3 linked regions of the Drosophila melanogaster genome follow. The protein of the gene in region 2 interacts with the protein of the main gene of each other region in a biochemical or structural test. Each region holds a gene or a part of one and is shown on either strand. Other genes may lie near its edges. The genes, in order: EcR, ari-1 and koi.

Region 1 (5,083 bases), on a different chromosome or scaffold from region 2:
TTATTTGCCGGCGAACTACCCCAACAAAAGGCATGCACATGACTTCGATCGCTCCCCCTCCCCCTCCCCTTCTCACCCACTCACACCCTCAAAGCTAGACAAACTCTCTCACGCTCGCATGCAGCTACACAGATACATATAGGAAAGCACAGATACATGTTGCACCCATACTCTAAGCAATTGCTCCAGTGTACTACTGAACTGAGAGTCGTTTGGCAGTCGGCCAAGAGGGAAAAGGATAGTGGAGGAGAGGGGAACGAGACGTGTGGAGGAGTGGAGAATGTGGGGAAGGACGAAAGAGAAGAAAATCATCATAGACGCAGTTATGGGTTGCAGCTGTGTTTGTATTGGTATACCCAAACAAATAGAAGTAGAGAAACATAGGAAGAGATAGAGAGAGGCAAAGTCTCTTTCACGCCCCCGACACCAAGCCGCTGCCGTCCCCACTACTCAGCTGTCATTGTTGATATTTTGTGTTTTCATCTTGAACTTTTGTGGTTCAATGTGTCTAGCCAACCCCAAACAGAGCGAAACTCACCACATGCTAACCACTGTCACCGTCAGTACGACCACCCCCACAGTCCCGCACCACCTTGCCCTTGCATTTTGCCGGCTTTTCTATGCGTATGCGTAGAGAGCGAGGTCGTCTCTCTCGCTCTGGCAAATGCAATTCTCTATTGCATTCTACACTTGAACTTGCCCAGCGTCAACTCAACGCACACAGCGACGTTAAGTAAATACGTAGCGATTCGAATGATGGGGCTGGTGGTGGGGGGAAGGGATGGGCAAACAATTATCTGCAGCGATGTGTGCGTATCTGTATCTGAGTATCTCAGCTCGCTTTGCGCTGACTTTTTAACCACAATGTATTCGAAACGTGCAATTTATACGTCGCCCAGCAGACGGCGGTGATACGTGTATGTGTATGTATACATACGTACATACTCATAGATACTGTTGTGGCTGTTAGTTTGATCTGCGTTCTGTTTACCCTCCTGGTGATCTTTTTCCTTTCCGTCAATTACGTCTCGTAGTGTCAATATTCTGCTTCAAACAGCGGTGTCTACTGACTTCAGGTGGATTTCCCTTCCAACGAATGGAAAACAGTCCTTCGGAGGACTCTCTATGGTTTTCTAACTCGATCTTATTTATTATTCATTCAGCTGACGTGAGAAAGTATTTTTGGCCACATGAAACGTTTTCATTGTTTTCTTGTTGAGATATTTGCTACATATATGTATTCAAATAATAAAGTTTAAAGGGACACTGAAAAATGCAATTGATGTTAGAGATTATTGAAAATAAAACTTGGAATGTATCGAAAAGGTGAAGTAGAGAGACTGTAATTTAAGCTAAATATTTCAACTTATCCTACTTTTAATTATTGCAAGTTGTGGCACTCCTTCCGATTTATTATGGACCCTTTCGTCCCACTATGCGAGAATATTTCAAATGTACGTACATACGTGTGAATTTGCACTTGTGCACCCGAAAGTAGCGATGAACGAAAACGAACGAAAAAAAAAAACAATAAATAAATGTAGAAAACCGAAAATAAAGCAGCAAGAAATGAAAGCGATGATGGCACTCATACTCACGCATACACGGCCATATACGCTCGCACACAACTCACAGATACGTGCCGGAGAGCGGACAAAGAGTATTCCACGATTGCAATTGCATCGGCATTTTCATTCAAGCCGCTTGCTCAGAGTGTGTGTCTGTGGCTGTGTGAGTGAGTGCTGCCTGCGTTTCACATTTATCTTTAGCGCCGATTCCGCTTTTAACTCTCGCTCTTTTAGCGCCATGGTGTGCGTGTCTGGTGAGTTTACTTTGGTGTGCGTGCCAGTGTGGTGAGTTTGAGCGTTTAACATTCTGCTCGTCTCGCTCATTGATTTAGTATTTTTTTGGACTTTGTTGTTAACGGTTGTTCGCTCGCACGTACGAAGCCCGATCGCGTTCGTCAAAAAACAAGATACAAAATACAGCACACACAATTGAAAACGACAACCTAACAGTACGGTTTCCCAAAGCACCTTACATTTCAAAACCGAAAACCCCCAAAATGTTGTAACCAAATAATGTTTAAATCACATATACACCTACATATATTTATGAAAAATTGTTAGACAAATCCCAAATAATACCAGTTCCCCCAACAACCGCAACAAACACAAGTGCAATTCATCGGCAAAAATTAATATAAAGTGCAAATGCATTGTAGCTGAAACTCAAACAATAGTAAAAATACATACATAAGTGGTGAAGAAGCAAAAGGAAATAGTTCTTAAAATAACGCAAATCGAGAGCATATATTCATATTTGTACAGATATTATATGGCGGCTGCATAGTGCAAACTGCGGCTGAGGGAATACAGCGGTATCGAAATGTAAATAGGAAACAACGAAGCCAGAACTCGAAATCAAACATCAGCAACGTGACACACAGACATAAGACGCCCGTCTAGTCGTGGTCTGTGGAACGCTAGCTCCGCTTTGCCAGGAGCCGGAGACTTTTTCCGCATCCACAATATTACATATGTACATATATCGAAGATAGTGCGCGAGTGAGTGAGGGATTTGTGCCGTGGATCCCGATCCCCTTACATATATATAAAGGTAGTGAAAAGATTTTACTCAACATTCCAAATAGTGCTTTGTCAACTGGAATACCTTTTGTTCAAATACGCAGTGGGCCCATGGATACTTGTGGATTAGTAGCAGAACTGGCGCACTATATCGACGCATATGGTGAGTGTGGGCACCTTGGAATCCAATAGAACCAAGCGCTTTTCCATAACAACATTTTGTGGTCAACTGCTTAACGAAAGATCTGAGTTAGGCAACAAGTTCGCTGTTCGGAGCCGAAAACTATTTTCGATTTGTTCAGGCCCTAATGTGTTTGTCTTGGCGCACTTGTCACTTCGCGTGCGCAAAATCAATTTCCATTTCTTATTCATCCAGCCGAAATGAAAACTACATTACCATTAGATCTTTTCAATGCCAAGATACACAGATCATATGTTCGCATAGCTGAATACATGCTGTACATACAGACATTATGATGTCCCAAAAAGATACACATGCTTGGGATGGGGGTTCGATTGGCAATACATTAATTATGGTCATGACAACTGACAGACGGTCAAGACAGAACGTTGAAAATTGTGTATTTCGCCTGCGTAAACATAATCAAGCCTCTTTCGGGCCACCATAGATCCCCGGTGTAGACGAATATGTGCATGTCGGTCTAGGAAAGCACTCGACTGCGTAATTGGCATGTATTTCCATAAATTCAAGTGGGCATTCAGTGAATTCAGCCAACAGATTTACTCTGATTTTCACATATATTCTGTTGATAAGGTTTAATTCGGTGTAAAACGTATTCGATTTATTAAGTGCCGAAAGAACGCTCAAAAATGATTCGATACAGATTGGGCACTTGAATCGTGTTGGAGAAGGTAAAATTGTGGAACATGTAAATGCTGTTCGTCTGAAGAGACTTCACTTTTTGGATCCAATGACTTCAATTGTTAAATGTTCAATTCTACAATAAATGTGTAGTATTTATTTATCTTATTTTTGGTATATTGTTTAATAGGTACTGCGATATATTATTATACATTATAAGGCGAGTCCTCTTGTGCGCTTGGGCTTCCCTATTTTAAAGCGCCTAATGAGGCATTAGGTAACAGCATTAGGTTTGCGCTTAGGTTCCAGTAAAGTCCCCAACATTAGTTTGACTCTCCCACAATTAATTTGTTCCATCCCCCCGACGACACAGACTTACCGCCACCCGTTGGCCTTCGTTTCCTGGGCGGGTCTGGTTAAACTTTCGACTTCATGGCTCTGTTTTTTGATACCCTTTACTCACACAGCATTTAAGTTCTAACGATGACTGAGCTGTGCAAGTTTATTTTTAGTCTCGGCCAAGTCCAATCTAAAGCTCCTAGAAATTCGAATAAGCTCAAAAGCCCTAAGCTGGGTTTTTAAATGAAATTCCTCTACAGGATGCACATAATTCAGAATTGTAGATTTAGTTTTAAACGTGCTAGCGGGTATCTTTTAGTCGAAGCACTCGACTAAAGATTCTCTTTTCCAACTGCTTTTTGCACATTAAGTTTTTCGCTATTTCTTCTTTGCTACACTTTCTGGACACAAACAAAGAGCACAAAAAAAGTAACTTATATCCTATGGCGTCGACAACTTCGTCTTCGCTGCTGTTGTTTATGTTTTATGGGACATTAAAGTGGCCAAATGGCAAATTTTAATGCGATTTTATGCAAATATATAGACACATGTATGTCTATACATGGGATTCAGTGTTGTGGCTTCGCCCAGGCTGAGAAAACCGAGTTACCAGTGCTTTTATGTCGAACCCTCTATGCATTTTTACAATAGTTTGGGGTTCTTAGCTAAATGACTTTGACATGAAGAAATTATACAAGCAAATGGAAACGATCAAAAGATCTGCTTAGTGTTCTGAAAGTCCTACCACAGACATAACAACAATTATGACTACCAAATCCGCACGAATTAAAATGACCCTGGATAATCGAAATACCTTATTTTATATCACAACTGTTTCCAAAGTGTCACACACAACCCCCCTTTAAAAAGGTTCAATGTAACCGCGTCTGGGGGCGACGATACTAATGGGTGCAGACCAGTGGGTCACGAGACAGAACACCACTCCGTTCTTCATCCCCTGGATGGAAATGGGGAACGGGAATGGCAGAAATGGCAAACAGGTGCCATTGTATGTGCTCTTGTATCAATTGCATTGAGTGCCTTATCTTGTCAGCCTTTTCTAGCTGGTTTTCCTTCCCGTTCGGTCTGGATGGACCTAATTTGTGTATGTGCGGTTAAGAGTAGCCTGCCATAAAGCAATCGAGCTTGGAATGAGTTGTGCCTTCTCCCCGACGCTCTTGTGGACTTTCACAGACCAGCAACAAAGTCGAGCTGCCAACACTTTCGCAGACAATCGCCAATGACAGAGAGTTTCCATGACTTTCCACAGTCCAGACAAAACAATTTTATTGTTGTTGTAGATTAGCCGAGCAACGCGAAAATGAACGTAGTT
Region 2 (7,670 bases):
TAAATTTAACTCAATTGATTGAATTACAATCAAATTGTCATTTTCATTATATGCAAAAATGGTATACATTTTGGTTCATGTTAAAAATGCTATTTAGTAACTGCCGTCATGTAATTTTGTAGTTTTTATTTATTGGTTTTATAATTTCTACAAATGCCTAATATTAAACCAATAGAAAATTATTGAAAACATTAAAATATTTACTTCTGTGTAATGAGGCAAACGCCCAATCAATTTTATAACCATTTTTTTCTCATTAAAAATGTGTCTGCTGTATTTATTTTGCATGCTGATTATTTCCATGCAATCGGTTTTTAGTTTACATATGAATTTTAAGGTGATATTCGTTTAGATATTTGTTTTGATGGTGAATCCTATATCAGGGGCACAAAATAAGAGGCACACAGTGTCCTCGTTCGTTACGGGCATATCCTCTCGCACAATGGCATCCCGATGGGTTTTTCCAGCACCGCTGACTGAACTCCTGGCAGAAGGACTCGCATCGGCAGATCGGGTTGCTCAGACGGCACTCGTAGGGCCCACAACTTCCGGATCCGCCCAGGTCGGCCCGTATGGCTGCCACCATTAGAAGAAGAAGAAATCGAACTGCCATCCAACGAATTTGCATTATGACCGCATTCTGATTAAGCCAGCTGGCTCTTTATATACATACCTTATACACAACAACAGTTGTCAGGTGTTGCAATAAAAACACAATATACAATAAAAAACTTTAAGTGAAATCGAATAAGGCGCCCATTGCCAGTGCAACTCTGTATCAACCGATACAGTATCGATAAGGTATCGATATGGCATCGATACATCGATGTTACAACAGAGTGGCAATTTACCATTGAATTTGATTAACGGTACTTGTGAAACAATGAAAATTGGGACAGTAAAGTTTAAAATAATTTTATTCAAATATATTTTTAGCTCGTGCGAAGTTTTAGCAATTTTATATTGTTCGCCACTTTAAAGATTAAACTCTAACCGCAAACAACCGGAGGTTGCAGTTAAAAACATGAGAAAACGTTTGAGTATAATATCTTGACAGTCGAATAAAAGATCTCAATAATAGATCAAGACGCCTAGTTATCCTGATCAAGAATATGTGTACTTTATGAAGTCGGAAGCGCTTTTCAACGAATCTAGTATACCCTTTAATTCCAAGAATAATTAATAATGTTTAAATAACAATATTTATTTCAAACAGGTTTATGTCTCGGATTGGAATTTGACACTGTGGTTCGTGCCTTTGAATGGATCCCTTCAAGTCTTGTTCTGTAAAGGGATTTTCTCAAAAACTGTTTCTGTAAATTAAGCGCATGTCTCATTTTTAAGATAATCTCTTTTGATGAATACACTGAGAATCAAGAAAACGTTCATTGGAAGCTCACTTGTTTTTGAATCTACTGTTTCCCAGCCGTCGATAAGTCACTATTGCTTTTTTGGCACCCATCGATAAGCAGATGTTGTTAAACATACGATTTAACGGAACGGTATGAAACAGGCGGCAATCGGAACGAAAGTAAATGGGAAAAAAGCGCAAACATGCGCACACACTTTCACGCACACTTGACTCCACTGTGCGAGCGCGTGTGTGTGTGTGTTATTTTTTGAGAAAAGCAAAGAGAGCAAGTGAGAACCAACACCGATGCAAATCATTTTGTTGGCTTTACGGTTAGTTTTTCGTGAAAATTCCATTTAATTTGTGCATTGCAACCGAACTTCGCGACGAAGGCGAGCACGATTAGTGCAATAAGCTAGTGTTTTTTCTTTGGAAAAGTGCATAGAAAAACAACAAAAAGTCATAAGCTTTTCGACTGTGCCTTTGTGTACGTGTGTGTGGCAATACACACGTAATGTGCGCATGTGTGTGCGCAGTGTGCTGGTGTGTGCCATTACCTTGAAAACAAAATAATCTGCCCTAAAGAAAAATGCATTTGTGTACATAATTTCGTTGTTTTTTTTTGTTTGTCCCATCGACGTTCGGTCGATTTTACATGATTTTACACACACATGCACACATTTAACATAGTGTTGTTCGCTGTTAAATCAGCAGTTCGGCCCTGTTAAGCGCACGGGCCAGTGTGACCGTTCTTCTTAAAAATACCGAACCAGTATGACTGCGCTGCGACCGTGCAGGGTCTCGTATTGTCATTAGAAAATCTCACATATTCATTTTTCATTTACAAATAAAAATAGCCAGCACGCAGCCTACAAATTAGCAGCGCACAAAATAAGTTAGTGTGAAAAAGGGAATAGAAGCTGTGCACCAAGTGCAGCGACCAAACACAACTGGCCACGCCACTGCGAGGGCAGCAATAATAACAACTGGCGAAAAGGGCTGCGCAAAAACGTAAACAAAAGCAAGTGGAAAACGAGGCAAAGGAAAACGAAAAGACAGAAACAAACGCAAATGCAAATGCAAAAGTAAAATACTGGAAGTAAACGCTGGAAAACAAAGCCTCGAAAGCTGAAAACAAAGAGGAACGGAAGTGGTGCGGGAGGCGCAAGAGGAACAGGAAGAGGAAGAGAGCAGAAGGAGCACCAGCAGCTGAAGCAGAAGCAGTAACGCAAAACAGAAACCGAAAAATGGACTCGGACAATGACAATGATTTCTGCGATAATGTCGATTCGGGCAACGTCTCCTCGGGCGACGACGGCGATGATGACTTTGGCATGGAGGTGGACCTGCCAAGCTCCGCGGACCGCCAGATGGACCAAGATGACTACCAGTACAAGGTGCTCACCACCGATGAGATTGTGCAACACCAGCGCGAGATCATCGACGAAGCCAATCTGCTGCTGAAGGTATGGCCAAGCGCAAGTACAGTGAACACCCGCTAGTATAACTATCCATCCGCAACTTAACTATCAGTCCTAGGGCAGCCATAGAGGTACATTCTTCACCCAGTCCAGACAACAAAGATAGGCAAGCAGTCACCTTTGATTGCTCTACAGTCAGGCCTTCCTAGCAGGAACATGTTTGTTTCGACTTTCGTTAGCGCTGCGATTTGCAGTGAAAGCCAAATGGCTTGACATAGTTTAGTGGCGTATAGCTGCCAAGAATATCTGATCTGTTCGCCGCTCGGAGGCATCACTGTGTGCAGCACAGTGCATTTGGGCATGTGTATCCGTGAATCGCTTTCCCCACCCCTCGCTCTTGCCGCCCACCGCCCTGCCTGGGATCTGGGATAAGCTGAAGGTCGTCCGCTGATGACTGCCAGTGCCAGTGAAATCGGAACACAAGCACCCAGGCGCACCCAAGGTCGCCAGATCCGCATCCCATATCCGCATCAGCAGCTGACTTGCCCGAAGTTCACTAGCACAGTTTTCACTTTCCCAGATTTCGGGGGATTCCCTTAAAATGGTATTATAGATTCCATTTCAAATGAATACATTAGGATCAATGTAGAATCCATGTAATACTTTTTTGTTTCATTGACATTTAAACATCAGAAAATCTTTCATTGCAATAATAAGCGAAATTCACTTAGCTTGAGTGTTAACTTTCAGTATTGATACAGATCATGTATGTAGCTATCTAATTGTTAGTTAAACAAAGCACCTTTGAGTAACTCTTCCCTCTAAAATTGAATTGTACATACATACGTACTTTTTCTCGATTTCCAAACAAATCGATTAGTTATTAGGAATGCCAAGAAATGTTATATATCCTAAAAATTATACTGTTTAGATAGACCAATTGCCAGTGGTAGTTATAGTGGTTCCACATCACAACCCCATCCACGATTATACATAGGTACTGCTGATCATACTGCTGCTGATCGCAAATGATTTGGCATTGATTTCGATGCCAACTGGGATGCAGCCCCCGCTCTTTTACCCCATATATGTACATATGTGCCATCATCCACTGACATTCGATTTGTTTTGTTGTCTATGGCCACAGCTACCCACACCCACCACACGGATACTGCTAAATCACTTCAAGTGGGACAAGGAGAAGCTATTGGAGAAGTACTTCGACGACAACACTGATGAGTTCTTCAAATGCGCACATGTCATAAATCCTTTCAACGCCACCGAAGCGATCAAACAAAAGGTGAGCCCAGTGCTAAGGCTCCATTTGATGTCTCATCTAATGCGTTTCCCTTCATTTTCAGACCTCACGCAGTCAGTGCGAAGAGTGCGAAATATGCTTTTCACAGCTCCCGCCAGATGTAAGTTGTCATGGAGAAGGGATGAGTAACTCCGTGACCTAATTGCGGTGTAGAATATATTTTCCCGCTGATTAACCACGAATATTTTGGGGGGAAACATGATTTTTTAACTGGTCAATGGTGCCTTATCTGATGACCTGATAATAATGTTAGGGCGTTGCTTTGCTATACAAATCTAAAATATTCTAAAAAGACTTGATTTGTATTTTATCAATTATTTTTATTGGCTTACGTTATCACTAATTTACTTGCTTGATTTACAATTGTTGATTGTTAGCCTGAATTTGGTTATGTAAGCAGTTCAGCAGTAATTCGCTGGAATCCAACTGTCTTGTGGAATCAAACATTTAATAATGTAGTTTAAAAAGTAAAATTTAGTATCACGTTTTAAAAGAGTAGATTGCAATGGGCAACTTTGGGTTATAACAGCAAAGTAAACTTAAATATATTATAGACAAGCTAACTAACAAATACTCAGAGCGTAAAACACCTATGAAAAGTTTAAAATTACCATACGCTATGTAGGTGGTTTTAATTTGCTGTATGCTTCATCATTAAGCTCTCATAGTTCGCGTGATCTTTAAGTATATATTATAGAATACGATTATAATATATTTATAATATTGTATACTCTTTTGCTCCACAAGCAACAACTTCAAGAATATCTACAATGTATACTAATAGCTACTTTCTCTTCGTTCCATTTAGTCCATGGCCGGGCTGGAATGCGGACACCGATTCTGCATGCCCTGTTGGCACGAGTATCTGTCAACGAAGATCGTGGCGGAGGGTCTGGGCCAGACCATTTCGTGCGCGGCGCACGGCTGTGATATCCTGGTGGACGACGTGACCGTCGCCAACCTAGTGACGGACGCACGGGTGCGGGTCAAGTACCAGCAGCTGATCACCAATAGCTTTGTGGAGTGCAACCAGCTGCTGCGCTGGTGTCCGTCCGTCGACTGCACCTATGCGGTGAAGGTGCCGTACGCGGAGCCACGTCGCGTCCATTGCAAATGCGGCCATGTCTTCTGCTTTGCCTGCGGCGAGAACTGGCACGATCCGGTCAAGTGCCGTTGGCTAAAGAAGTGGATCAAGAAGTGTGACGACGACTCGGAGACGTCCAACTGGATCGCGGCCAATACCAAAGAGTGTCCCAGGTGCAGCGTGACCATCGAGAAGGACGGCGGCTGCAACCACATGGTGTGCAAGAACCAGAACTGCAAAAACGAGTTCTGCTGGGTGTGCCTCGGTTCTTGGGAGCCGCACGGCTCCTCCTGGTACAACTGCAATCGCTATGACGAGGACGAGGCCAAGACGGCCCGCGATGCTCAGGAGAAGCTGCGCTCCTCGCTGGCCAGGTGGGTCATTCGACTGTGAACGATGTCACAGGATAGGAACCCCTTTTGTTTTTTTTTTTTTTTAAGTGATACTTGTTGTGTATTATTTTCGCAGTTCGCTGATAATGACGGTTAGCGGTTTATTTTATCTGCTAATTTCTTTTAAGAAAAGATAACGATTGAAAGCCGTAGAAAGGAATGAATCAGCTATAATTCGTAATTAAATTTTATCGCTGATTAAACCTGTAGAATTAGAAATGCTAAAACTAATCAAGGAAACACGAAAGTATCTAGGCAGAAATGTGAAAGTCATTATGGAATAAAACTCAACTGATATATTATCTTCTGCCAAATCTACAGATATCTCCACTACTACAATCGCTACATGAACCACATGCAGTCGATGAAGTTTGAGAACAAATTGTATGCATCTGTGAAGCAAAAGATGGAGGAGATGCAACAGCACAACATGTCATGGATTGAGGTAAGTGGTGAAAACTCGTGACCATAACAATGCGAATTCAGCACACTCATTGCAATTGCAGGTGCAGTTTCTGAAAAAGGCTGTCGACATACTTTGCCAGTGCCGTCAGACTCTCATGTACACGTACGTGTTTGCATATTACTTGAAAAAGAACAATCAATCCATGATATTCGAGGATAATCAAAAGGACTTGGAGTCGGCAACCGAGATGTTGTCGGAGTATTTGGAACGTGATATTACATCCGAGAATTTGGCTGATATTAAGCAGAAAGTGCAAGATAAATACAGGTGAGCGAGCGAGCCATGTCCGTGTCCCCAACATACAAACGACTCATTATCCAAACATTGATTGGTCTCTCCATTCGATTAGGTATTGTGAAAAGCGGTGCTCTGTTCTGCTGAAGCACGTGCACGAGGGGTACGACAAGGAGTGGTGGGAGTACACAGAATGACGCGAGTCATGGCTGGATAACTAAGCTAAGCCGAGCGGCAGGCAATCGGAATGTAGTGCCCGCTAAGCGCCACCCCATCCAGCATCCGAAATGCAGCAAACACTGTCCCCATCCACATACCGACCAACATCCGCCAAGCCACGCAACACACACACACACACACACACACACACTCACGCACGCACGCACTCACGCAGAAATCGAAGCCGAAGGAGTTGAACAGAAGTTAAGGATAATGCAGAAGCTACACAGAAACGCAAGAGAAAGGAGACTCGAAATTCCCAGAAACGCAGGATAAATCCCCATACAAGAGTTGCAAAGCAAAATTGAAGCCATTTCAGAACACAGAAGCCAGAAGGAAATCACCATAAAATCGTAATATATATAAATATATATATTGAATTATATATATTTTTCTTCGTACTAAGCAAGAGCAGCAGCAGGACACGAAGAAGGACAGGATCAAATAGACACTACCAAACACATACTCACACACTCCCACACACACACACACACACACACAGAACCAGTCACAAGGCTCAGAAGCAGAATAGATATATAGTAAATAATCAACAGTTAAAAACTTATTTGATGTTAACCGATTGCAAAGAAATCTTCATGTTATAAAAACCTAATGAAAAACGAAACAAAATGCAAAAATTAGTGAATTCAAAGCTACACGCATGATGAGAAGCCAACAATAGAACCTAAACTTATGTGAAATAAACAAACTACACATGTAAGCAGAAACACTCGCCCAGCTTCCTTTCCACCTGCCCAACTTCCTTCGACCAAAGACAATAGAATAACAAGATGCGTAACGCAACGCGATTTTTTAGCACACATTTTTTTGGCAATGGATCTAGAAGGTGGCTCCAGGCTCTCTCGAATTTTTGAGAGAGAGCGAGAGAGTGGAGAGCGCTACAGCAAATAGCTCTTTTCTACGTATACAGTGATAGCAGACAATTGTATGTGTGCACACGTATGCTTATGCATTGTAAATTTGACCCCCTTCTTAGACTTTAAATCTTTATTATTTTTGATCAATTGGCACCATGCTAAAAATTCTTGTTTTGCATTGCCTTAACGTTATTATTATTTGAAAATAGATTAGAAATAGCCAAATCTATGTACATATTATCACAAAATAAATTTCAAAAATTACTTTATTAGAATATTTGTCATTAGAGTATTCAGCTTGCGGCGT
Region 3 (7,960 bases), on a different chromosome or scaffold from region 2:
AAAGCGGCTGGGCTCCGTTGATCCACATCTCGCAGTGATATATTGTTTAGTTTCCTTTTTAAGGCACAGACATTATGTACACCTGGCAGTACTTAGGTCACTAGAAGAGATTTGAACAGATTTATGTGGCCGGCGGCTTGCCGTGCACGCGAAACCGGTAGAGGCATGTATAGGTGGGATGGCCATGGTTCGTCTCGATCCGCAGTTCGACGATCTCGTACGGCCGTTTGATGTCCAGGTTTTGAACGGCAAAGTACTGGAGGGAAGCACCATTGTCCTCAAACTGGTAATCGCCGAACAATACGGGTTCCTGGTCCTTCTCCTGCTCCAAGCCCTGAGTTGATGGATAAGTCGTATTAGAAATGCACCACTTCCTTTCACCCTTAGTCAAACTTACCCAGACAGTGAAGTTGCGAGGAGCTGATTCTATTCTTCCTGTGGGGGATAGACTCTTCGGTATGTGCTCTAGGGTGAATCCAGTGACGTACACCAACGAGTTGAGCTTTAGCACTGTGGGAAGAAAACTATAAGGACTGTTTTAGCAATTACTATTTACCCGCGACTTGCCTAGAAATCCGGGAAACCCTTGGAATGCCCAGCATTCCCCTGGCTGCACATTGGGTGAAATGGCGACCCGCGGCGTGTTGGTGGGATACCAGAGTGGAATTCCAAACACCGATATCTGGGCTGACTTTGTCTGGTAGCTCTCAGTGCAACGCGTGGAAAGGATTTGGCCGCCCGCCGACTCCAGGGCGAAGTCCACCAGGCCCGTCTTGTCGGCATCGTAAATAGCTAGCACCGTCTTGACTATCTGGCGCACCTCCTCTTCGCGGATATGGCCCTTCAACGCTTTGGTGCTCTCGTTATGCTTGGCCTCCACAACCAGAAGAATCTCCCGTTTGAGTCGTTGGCTAATGTCGCTCATCAGCAGGATGCTCGAACGCTCAATCTCGTCGCGAATGTTGTTATTGGTGCGCTTGTTCAGCTCTAGCAGCTGCTGCTCCAGGTAGTCCTTGGCCACAAACATGCTGCGTACCCAGGTCTGCAGATCGAAGTCATCCAATTGGCCAGCGGAACCGCCAGCGGTGGATTGCTTAAAGCCCAGAATTTCGACAAGGGATAGCTTGATCTGCTTGTTGAGAAGAGCAAACTGCGAGTCGTTAAGCGCAGACAGTTTGTTTTCTATTTCAGCCAGCAACCCGTGGAAGCGCCTATCCTGGGAAAGTTCGTGCTGCTGTATGCGTTCCAGCAAATCCTCTTGGCCGAGCTTCAGATTGCTGATTGATTGGTGCAGATCGGCGTTCTCCGCTTGCTTGTCAGAGAGAGCCAACTTAATGAAGGCGATTTCCCTGTTCAGACGCTCAATTTGGACTTCTGCATCTGAGGAACCGGAACTCTCCTTTGGCTCGAGCTCTCCCACCCGAAGACTTATTCGAGCATCTACAAAGTCTGCCAATGCTGGCGCAGCAAGAATACGCTCCAGCAGGGATGCAAAGTCTATCCTGTCCAATTGAATGGTGTAGTGCGATTCGTGGAGGTGAACCTCTGCTTTAATTAGCTTGGTTATCTCCTCTAAGTTAGCTTGTGATAGTTTCGCTCCATCTTGCCAACCGCCTGAGCTTTGCAGCTCCAGTTTCAGTTTTATGGCCAGATCAGACAAATCCTTTTCGCTTAGCTCCGTTTTGTACATAATCTGCTTGAGGTTTTCCTTCATCAGCTTAACAAAGAGTTCAATCTGTTGCGGTGCGAGCTCCTTGGAATGCTGCTGCATTTTCAGCTCGACCAACTGCTGCACGTAGCTGTTTACATGGTTTAAGATATTTTCGTATTCCTCGGCAGTCAAGGCTTTCTGGATGTTCTGTTCAATGCTGGCCATGTTTACCTTAATGGCCTCGGCTTCCCGCTGGGGACTCCTGACGGTGGGCACTTCCATCCAACTTTTCAAGGTGGCTCCAGCATTTGAAAATCGACTACGTAGGGAGCCGAAAATAGATAGTGGCAGCGGCAACAGTGCTTCCGCACGCTGAACGTAAGCACTACGTTGATCCTCCTGCAAGAGCAACCATCCTGGGGAAGGAGAAAATTAAACATAGCACTATTAGTTGGCAATCCTTCTACATTTACAGTCCCTACCAACTTCAATTATCAACCGGACTGAGGTAACAGGGAACTCGTTTTTGGGGTTATTCCAACACAAATGCAGAAGGATAGAGTTCGATTCTGGCCAACTAATATTGCTTTGTTTACATCTTACTTACCATTTAGCGAACTTCCAACAAATGGCAAATAAAACAAACAACTCTTCTTTGTACTTGATGTTTCATATGAAATTGTTTGCGATTTATTTTTGTATAGACTATTACAAAGCAAACAGTGCACAAATTACAATTAAACGTTGTTTAACAACAAGTAAGATTTAGTTAGGGCACTAACCCAGACGGATAACGGCCCTAATTGTTGGACAAGAATGAAGTTAACGATTACGAAAGTTTTACAATTTGAACAGCGGCGAGCTCTATCCTTCTCCCATCAGCCTGTGATGTTGCATTTTGTTGGGAATTGTGTCGGTTAGTATGGTGGGGTATGAGAGGTGGGTTTGCCTATGAAGTGGGTAAATGACGGGACGAAAAACTATAAAGTAAGTGCGCAAAACTGCGGGTCAAGCAGACGGACAAAAAACGGATCAAATGCTTTATTTTGTACTCATATTGTTCATAAAGAAAGTTTCTCATATTTGTCTAAGTGCAAGGGGCGTTGCACCCAACCAGATCACTAAATCTGGTAGCTGTAGCCTGCCCATTGCAGATGTTCCCTACACACGCTCATAATAGACTTTATCATCGCCCTGAAATAACTGACGACCCTTGTTGACCACGTTCTGACCGATGGTTCTCAAGTACAAAACGTAGTCGTCGGCCCAATCGCGAACGCGGACCGCATGCTCGGCGGCCTGAGAGCGTAGCGATTCGAACTGCTCCTGGTTCAGGTAGTCTTTCACATCGATTTTGGGCAACTCAGGTAGGGTGAATGTGTATTCGGACAGGGATTTGGGTGGGAAAGTTTCATTGGGGTGTATGTAATAGAACAGACCTGCAAAGGCAAAGCAAATTAGGCGTTTAACCTTGGCAGACGGTGAATGGAAAATAAAATATGTCATCACATGGCCACTTAAATCTGATCCGCGGGATTTTACTAACAAATTATCGATGGCGTCACGCGACTGCCAACGACCAGACGAGTTTATAAATACAACGACTGGAGGTGATCTATATGCATGTAGTATGAATTCTCGAACCGGTACAAGGTCACGGCACACGCTCTAACATATTTTACTTTACATCAAAAATCGGACGGTGCTTTAAATCCTACTCACCCGACAGCAGCAGCAAGGGCAACAAAATCAGCAGAAATATGAGGAAGCGCTTTTTCGACTTGTTTTCCGCATCCGAGGATCGCAGCAACCACGTGTCCAAACTCAGCACCGATCCGATGAAAACATACAGGTAGCGCAGCAAACTTGCAAGTCCTCCTCCGATGGTCTGTACTATTTTCCACCAAAGTCCAACTTGTTGACTCTGCTGGCGCTTAGCGTGGTAGTTTTGATAGGCAGTCGTCTCCGTGGCCGAGAGATTGGTCACCCGACTCCACACGGTGGTAATGCTGCTAACAACCAGTTGGATGAGGCGGATAAGCCACCAGCTCTGCTTTTGCTGCCCAAATGTGGCGTCCAGTTCATCTGCGGAGTCATAGTTAACCTGCTGGGTATACTTGGACTGGTAGCGGCGGCGGATGAACTCCTCTTGCGCAGGGTTCTGCTGGACCATGTAGTTGACTCGATCGTTATGGTTCTCTAGGCTCTTTCTGGACATATTGGGCATGGCCACAATTCCTGGCGCCAACTGGCGTCGGTGAGGGGACAGTTCTGAGTAGGTATAGTCCGTCTTGGGAGTTTTGCTGCAAAATAGCATCATTAGTATACTGTTTAAAATGTGTAGAAATGATTCACTCACTTCCAGTATTCACCAGCATCCCTGTACTCGATGTAGGCCAGATAATCGCTGACATTTCCCGAGCTGAGGTTACCGTTCGATTGGTTTAGCTTTTCCTGGGCGGAATTCAGCGTGTTTTGTGTGGTCTCCAGCTGGCTTCTGTTCCGCGGTGTCGATGTGGCGCCGCCGGATCGCTTGGTGAGAATCGACGTGACTGTGGCCGTGATCGAGTTCTGTTTGCGTTTGGCATCCGGAGTCATGTCGTCGCTCGAATAGTCCGAGGTCAGCTGGGCGAACGCTTTTGCCCGGGTTTTCTTACTGATACTCGACTCCACTATATGCTCCTCTATTATCGTTCTGCAGAGAAGAGGTAAGATTTGGGAAAAATATTTCAGTAAGTCCGTGATAACGTGCTCGGAATCGTTTGAAACGACGAGTACAACGTATCAAAACAAAAACACAAAAATATGCTTATAACCGCCGCTGGCCTTCAGCGCAAACGACTGTTAGCCCACCCCAGCATGCTCGATTTAGAGGCTAAAACGTGAAAACGATTTCTGACGGCCGACGTTGGACTCCGAATGTCGTCATCGAGTCTTGAAGACTGATCATCAGACCGACCAGGCGCTCTCGAAATAGGCGCCAAAAACTAACGAAGCTCGACCAGATGCTGCACCCTGTATGCGGCTTTGCCTTCGTTTTCTACCCGCTTCGAAATTCAAATTCGCGGCGAGCGTGAATAACAAAAAGGTGACGTCATGGCGGCAGCACACGGCATACAAACATACAGTCGCTATGGATGTGTCTTACTACAGTCCAACTTGCTTACTGAAACCAATGGTCAGTATAGAAAAAGGTGACTCAGGACCAAATAGGAAATAATTATAGAGTTTAAACTGAATTCTCCTAATTCTCAAAATGAAATTGACTCGAACTCCGTAAACATATTGTATGCTTACAATTTTACTACTTATAAGGGCTAAAAATAATGTTATGGGTTCGCGATAAAGGGCTTCGTCCGTAGGCCTATTTCGGGAGTATCCCAGATACTTACTGCACATTGGGGGCCGCCGATTTCCTTTTGAGGTGGTGCACATGCCCCTCCTCTCCGGCGTGCTCACAGTTCTCATGGTCGCAGCTCGATCTCAGGAAGGGGGTCTTGGAACGCGACCGCCGACGCGTTTCTATCTGGTATGTATTTTCGCTCATGATTAGATTCCCTCCAGTGCTCGGGCCCTGCGAAGACACAAATAATTAACATGGGCAACGATTTATTTGGAGTAAACATTAAAACCAGTCTGTGTGTGTGTGCGTGTGCGTGTGTGTGCGTGCTAGGCGTGGGTTGTTTACAATTGGGCAGCTGGAAAACATTCGGTCTCTTCACTTCAATGCTCGAGTGCTTTCCGAAGCGAGCTTTCCCCGCCACATTAATGCCGCATTATGCAATGCAATGCGTGTGGAAATGAGCGCAGTGCCCGGTTTTTAATTAGAATGCATTGGGGAGGTAGGTAAGTAGGCAGGCCGCAAAGACCGCGTCTAAAAATAGGGCGGAGCATTTCGGATCGCGAATTGCTGCCAGTGACCGTGGGGATCCATTGGTGTTGGGCCACATAGCCGAAAACGACGCCCGCCCGGCCTTTCGCGCACAGATATCGGACTCCAGGGAGCGGGGTAGGGATGTAGACGCTACAGGGTGCTCCGGCGGACCACGCCATCCACAAACAACGCGCGATAATCAATACAATGGCTTACTGCCCAAAATGAGTTCGCAGCACAGGCGCAAATATTCGTTGATTCCGTGATTCGGTGAAATGGAAACCCAAACAAGTTTTCCACAGCTGCGTCATAGCGTACATATATGTACATATGTATGTACGTGAATGTAAAAATGAGGCACGCACGCACACAAACAAAAACTCCGCACAGTGCTTTCGGCAGTTTGCCCGCAAATATGTGACATACTTAGTAATATTTCTTGTACTGCCGTACTAATGAATTCCTCCGTTGAATAGCTGGATATGAATTTTGTTTGCAAGCGCCGCGACCGTTTTAAAAATAGCCTCCACCGTCACGACGGCAAAATCACGTCTATTCCGAGCGGCGAAAAAATTCGAATGAACGGGGAAGACACATCGATTATTCTAGCAATCATCGATGTTTCGCCGCCTATCGATTGTTCACATGGATTATTAAAGGGAACGTTGAGAAACGGAATTTGTTTTCATTAACCAAGAGAAATAATGGGTCAAGAATAAAAAATTTAATTTTTACACTTTTATCTTTTGTTCAACAAAGAAAAATAATTTGAATGAGGTGTGCAAATATGCAAACATACATTATTTTTCTATTAACGCCGAAACATTCGACTTCTGGCTTGATAACTAAGAAGAAGACTGAAATTTAAATATAAATTTGTTAACAAATATTATCGTTTTACAAGGATGTGATAGATTTGCGTCATGACAAGCAATTGAGCTTTCTAAGTATACTTTCAGACTTCTGATATCTTTAACTTCGACTTTCTATATGATTGTTATTTAAACATATTTAAAATTAAATAAAATATCGATAGCATTGCGGACAATTAGCGATCCCTCAAACCACTCGGTATTCGGTAAAGGGTATTTGACAACCCTAAGCAATAATACCACAACAAATCAAGAATTTATTGTTGTGATTTGTCTAGCAAAGCCATAAAATATGATAGAAATAACGTGTAACGATCGTCTTGGCAAGAAGGTAAGCAGCTAAGTACCCAAGGCAACTGCAAGCATCGTTAACCAACGATTAACCCACAGGTGCGCGTCAAGTGCAACCCGGACGACACGATTGGGGACCTCAAGAAACTAATCGCGGCACAAACGGGCACAAAGCACGAGAAGATTGTCCTGAAGAAGTGGTACACAATCTTCAAGGACCCGATTCGCCTATCTGACTGTAAGCCCTTGTTTAGTGTCCTTGTAACGCCTTGCTTTACCCGCATTTCTTTTTCGCTTTCTTAGATGAAATTCACGATGGCATGAATCTGGAACTTTACTACCAATAAAACTGCAAGGGAATACCGTTCCTGTGTCTAGTTTGTCCAATTTTTATAGCTTCTTTAATAAATAAAAAGATTTTGAATAATATATATTATTCGTTTTGGTTATGTTCTGATTCTTAAGGTCAATTTGTAATAGTGAAGATATATATTTTTGAGTAAGCTGTATTAAGCCCTTGGTTATCGGACTTCCCTTGACAATAACAAAATACATAGTTAGATTGATGAATTACAATTACAATTAATATTGTAATTTGCGTTTAATGCGCCCCTACGACTACGCCCCTGTAAAATTGGTATTATTTACAGCGTATGTTGCGGCGTTGCCAGATCGCATCAAAGGCTTCCAGAGAAAGAACAACAAATATTGAAAACAGCGCATTCAAGATTCCGTCGAAAATGTCAATGATTCCATTCTTTCCCACGCTCAAAGTCTCCGTGGCCAATCGCTACTGGTTGGACATGGCTCCTGCCTCCGTAAACGAAGAATCGCAGACGCGGCGTTATGAGGATGAAAGGAGCAACTGGGTGAGTTCTCTCCAGACACCGCTTTCTGTATAAATTGTTATAAACTTAAACCGTACAGCGAGAGTCCCTTAAGACGGCCGGCACAGATCTGCAGCCGCTGGGCAAAATGCTCACCATACCCGGAATTGAGACCGACGACGAGGATGGTGAGTACGGCAGGACACTGCATTCGGATTACCATTATCGTTTTTACGTCCAATTGCCCTTGTGCAGCCAACGACGACAGCGAGGACACGGACAGTCACGATGAGGAGGATGACGAGACCAACGACCGCGTCATCCCGGTAACCCAGGACTTTTACTCCGCCGACGACATTCAGATGAACGACGAGACCTCACCCACAGCCCCCTAAATGAATGGGAGTGCCCTGATTGCCCATCACAATGTCGCCCGGCTGGTGGA

The links.
Region 1: of the proteins of ari-1 (region 2) and EcR, one has a biochemical effect on the other in vitro, tested with the Drosophila melanogaster proteins (one study listed by BioGRID).
Region 3: of the proteins of ari-1 (region 2) and koi, one has a biochemical effect on the other in vitro, tested with the Drosophila melanogaster proteins (one study listed by BioGRID).

Annotation. Positions count from the first base shown.
Region 1 is NT_033778.4:6,128,734-6,133,816, reverse strand, and holds the start of EcR (ecdysone receptor), read left to right. Parts: upstream 1-1,975; 5' UTR 1,976-2,699; coding exon of another isoform or gene 2,700-2,751; intron 2,752-5,083. UniProt on the Drosophila melanogaster protein: Receptor for ecdysone. Binds to ecdysone response elements (ECRES) following ecdysone-binding, and recruitment of a complex containing the histone methyltransferase trr, leads to activate transcription of target genes.
Region 2 is NC_004354.4:18,131,589-18,139,258, reverse strand, and holds the start of ari-1 (ariadne 1), read left to right. Parts: upstream 1-1,573; 5' UTR 1,574-1,683; exon of another isoform or gene 1,684-1,894; intron 1,895-2,119; exon of another isoform or gene 2,120-2,208; 5' UTR 2,209-2,598; coding exon 2,599-2,817; intron 2,818-3,919; coding exon 3,920-4,072; intron 4,073-4,133; coding exon 4,134-4,190; intron 4,191-4,898; coding exon 4,899-5,548; intron 5,549-5,887; coding exon 5,888-6,011; intron 6,012-6,072; coding exon 6,073-6,299; intron 6,300-6,381; coding exon 6,382-6,463; 3' UTR 6,464-7,670. Other genes in the region: CG43229 (uncharacterized protein), read right to left, coding at 380-628. UniProt on the Drosophila melanogaster protein: Atypical E3 ubiquitin-protein ligase, which catalyzes ubiquitination of target proteins together with ubiquitin-conjugating enzyme E2 Ubc10.
Region 3 is NT_033778.4:6,809,167-6,817,126, reverse strand, and holds the start of koi (klaroid), read right to left. Parts: upstream 6,109-7,960; 5' UTR 5,952-6,108; intron 5,340-5,951; exon of another isoform or gene 5,226-5,339; 5' UTR 5,199-5,225; coding exon 5,044-5,198; intron 4,596-5,043; exon of another isoform or gene 4,433-4,595; intron 4,347-4,432; coding exon 4,011-4,346; intron 3,955-4,010; coding exon 3,374-3,954; intron 3,091-3,373; coding exon of another isoform or gene 2,813-3,090; exon of another isoform or gene 2,315-2,812; intron 2,068-2,314; coding exon 568-2,067; intron 511-567; coding exon 398-510; intron 335-397; coding exon 122-334; 3' UTR 1-121. Other genes in the region: ubl (ubiquitin like), read left to right, coding at 6,690-6,728, 6,788-6,926, 6,992-7,035; CG15237 (uncharacterized protein), read left to right, coding at 7,429-7,557, 7,616-7,703, 7,771-7,910. UniProt on the Drosophila melanogaster protein: Component of the LINC (LInker of Nucleoskeleton and Cytoskeleton) complex involved in the connection between the nuclear lamina and the cytoskeleton. Is required to nuclear migration in eye and to anchor klar in the nuclear membrane.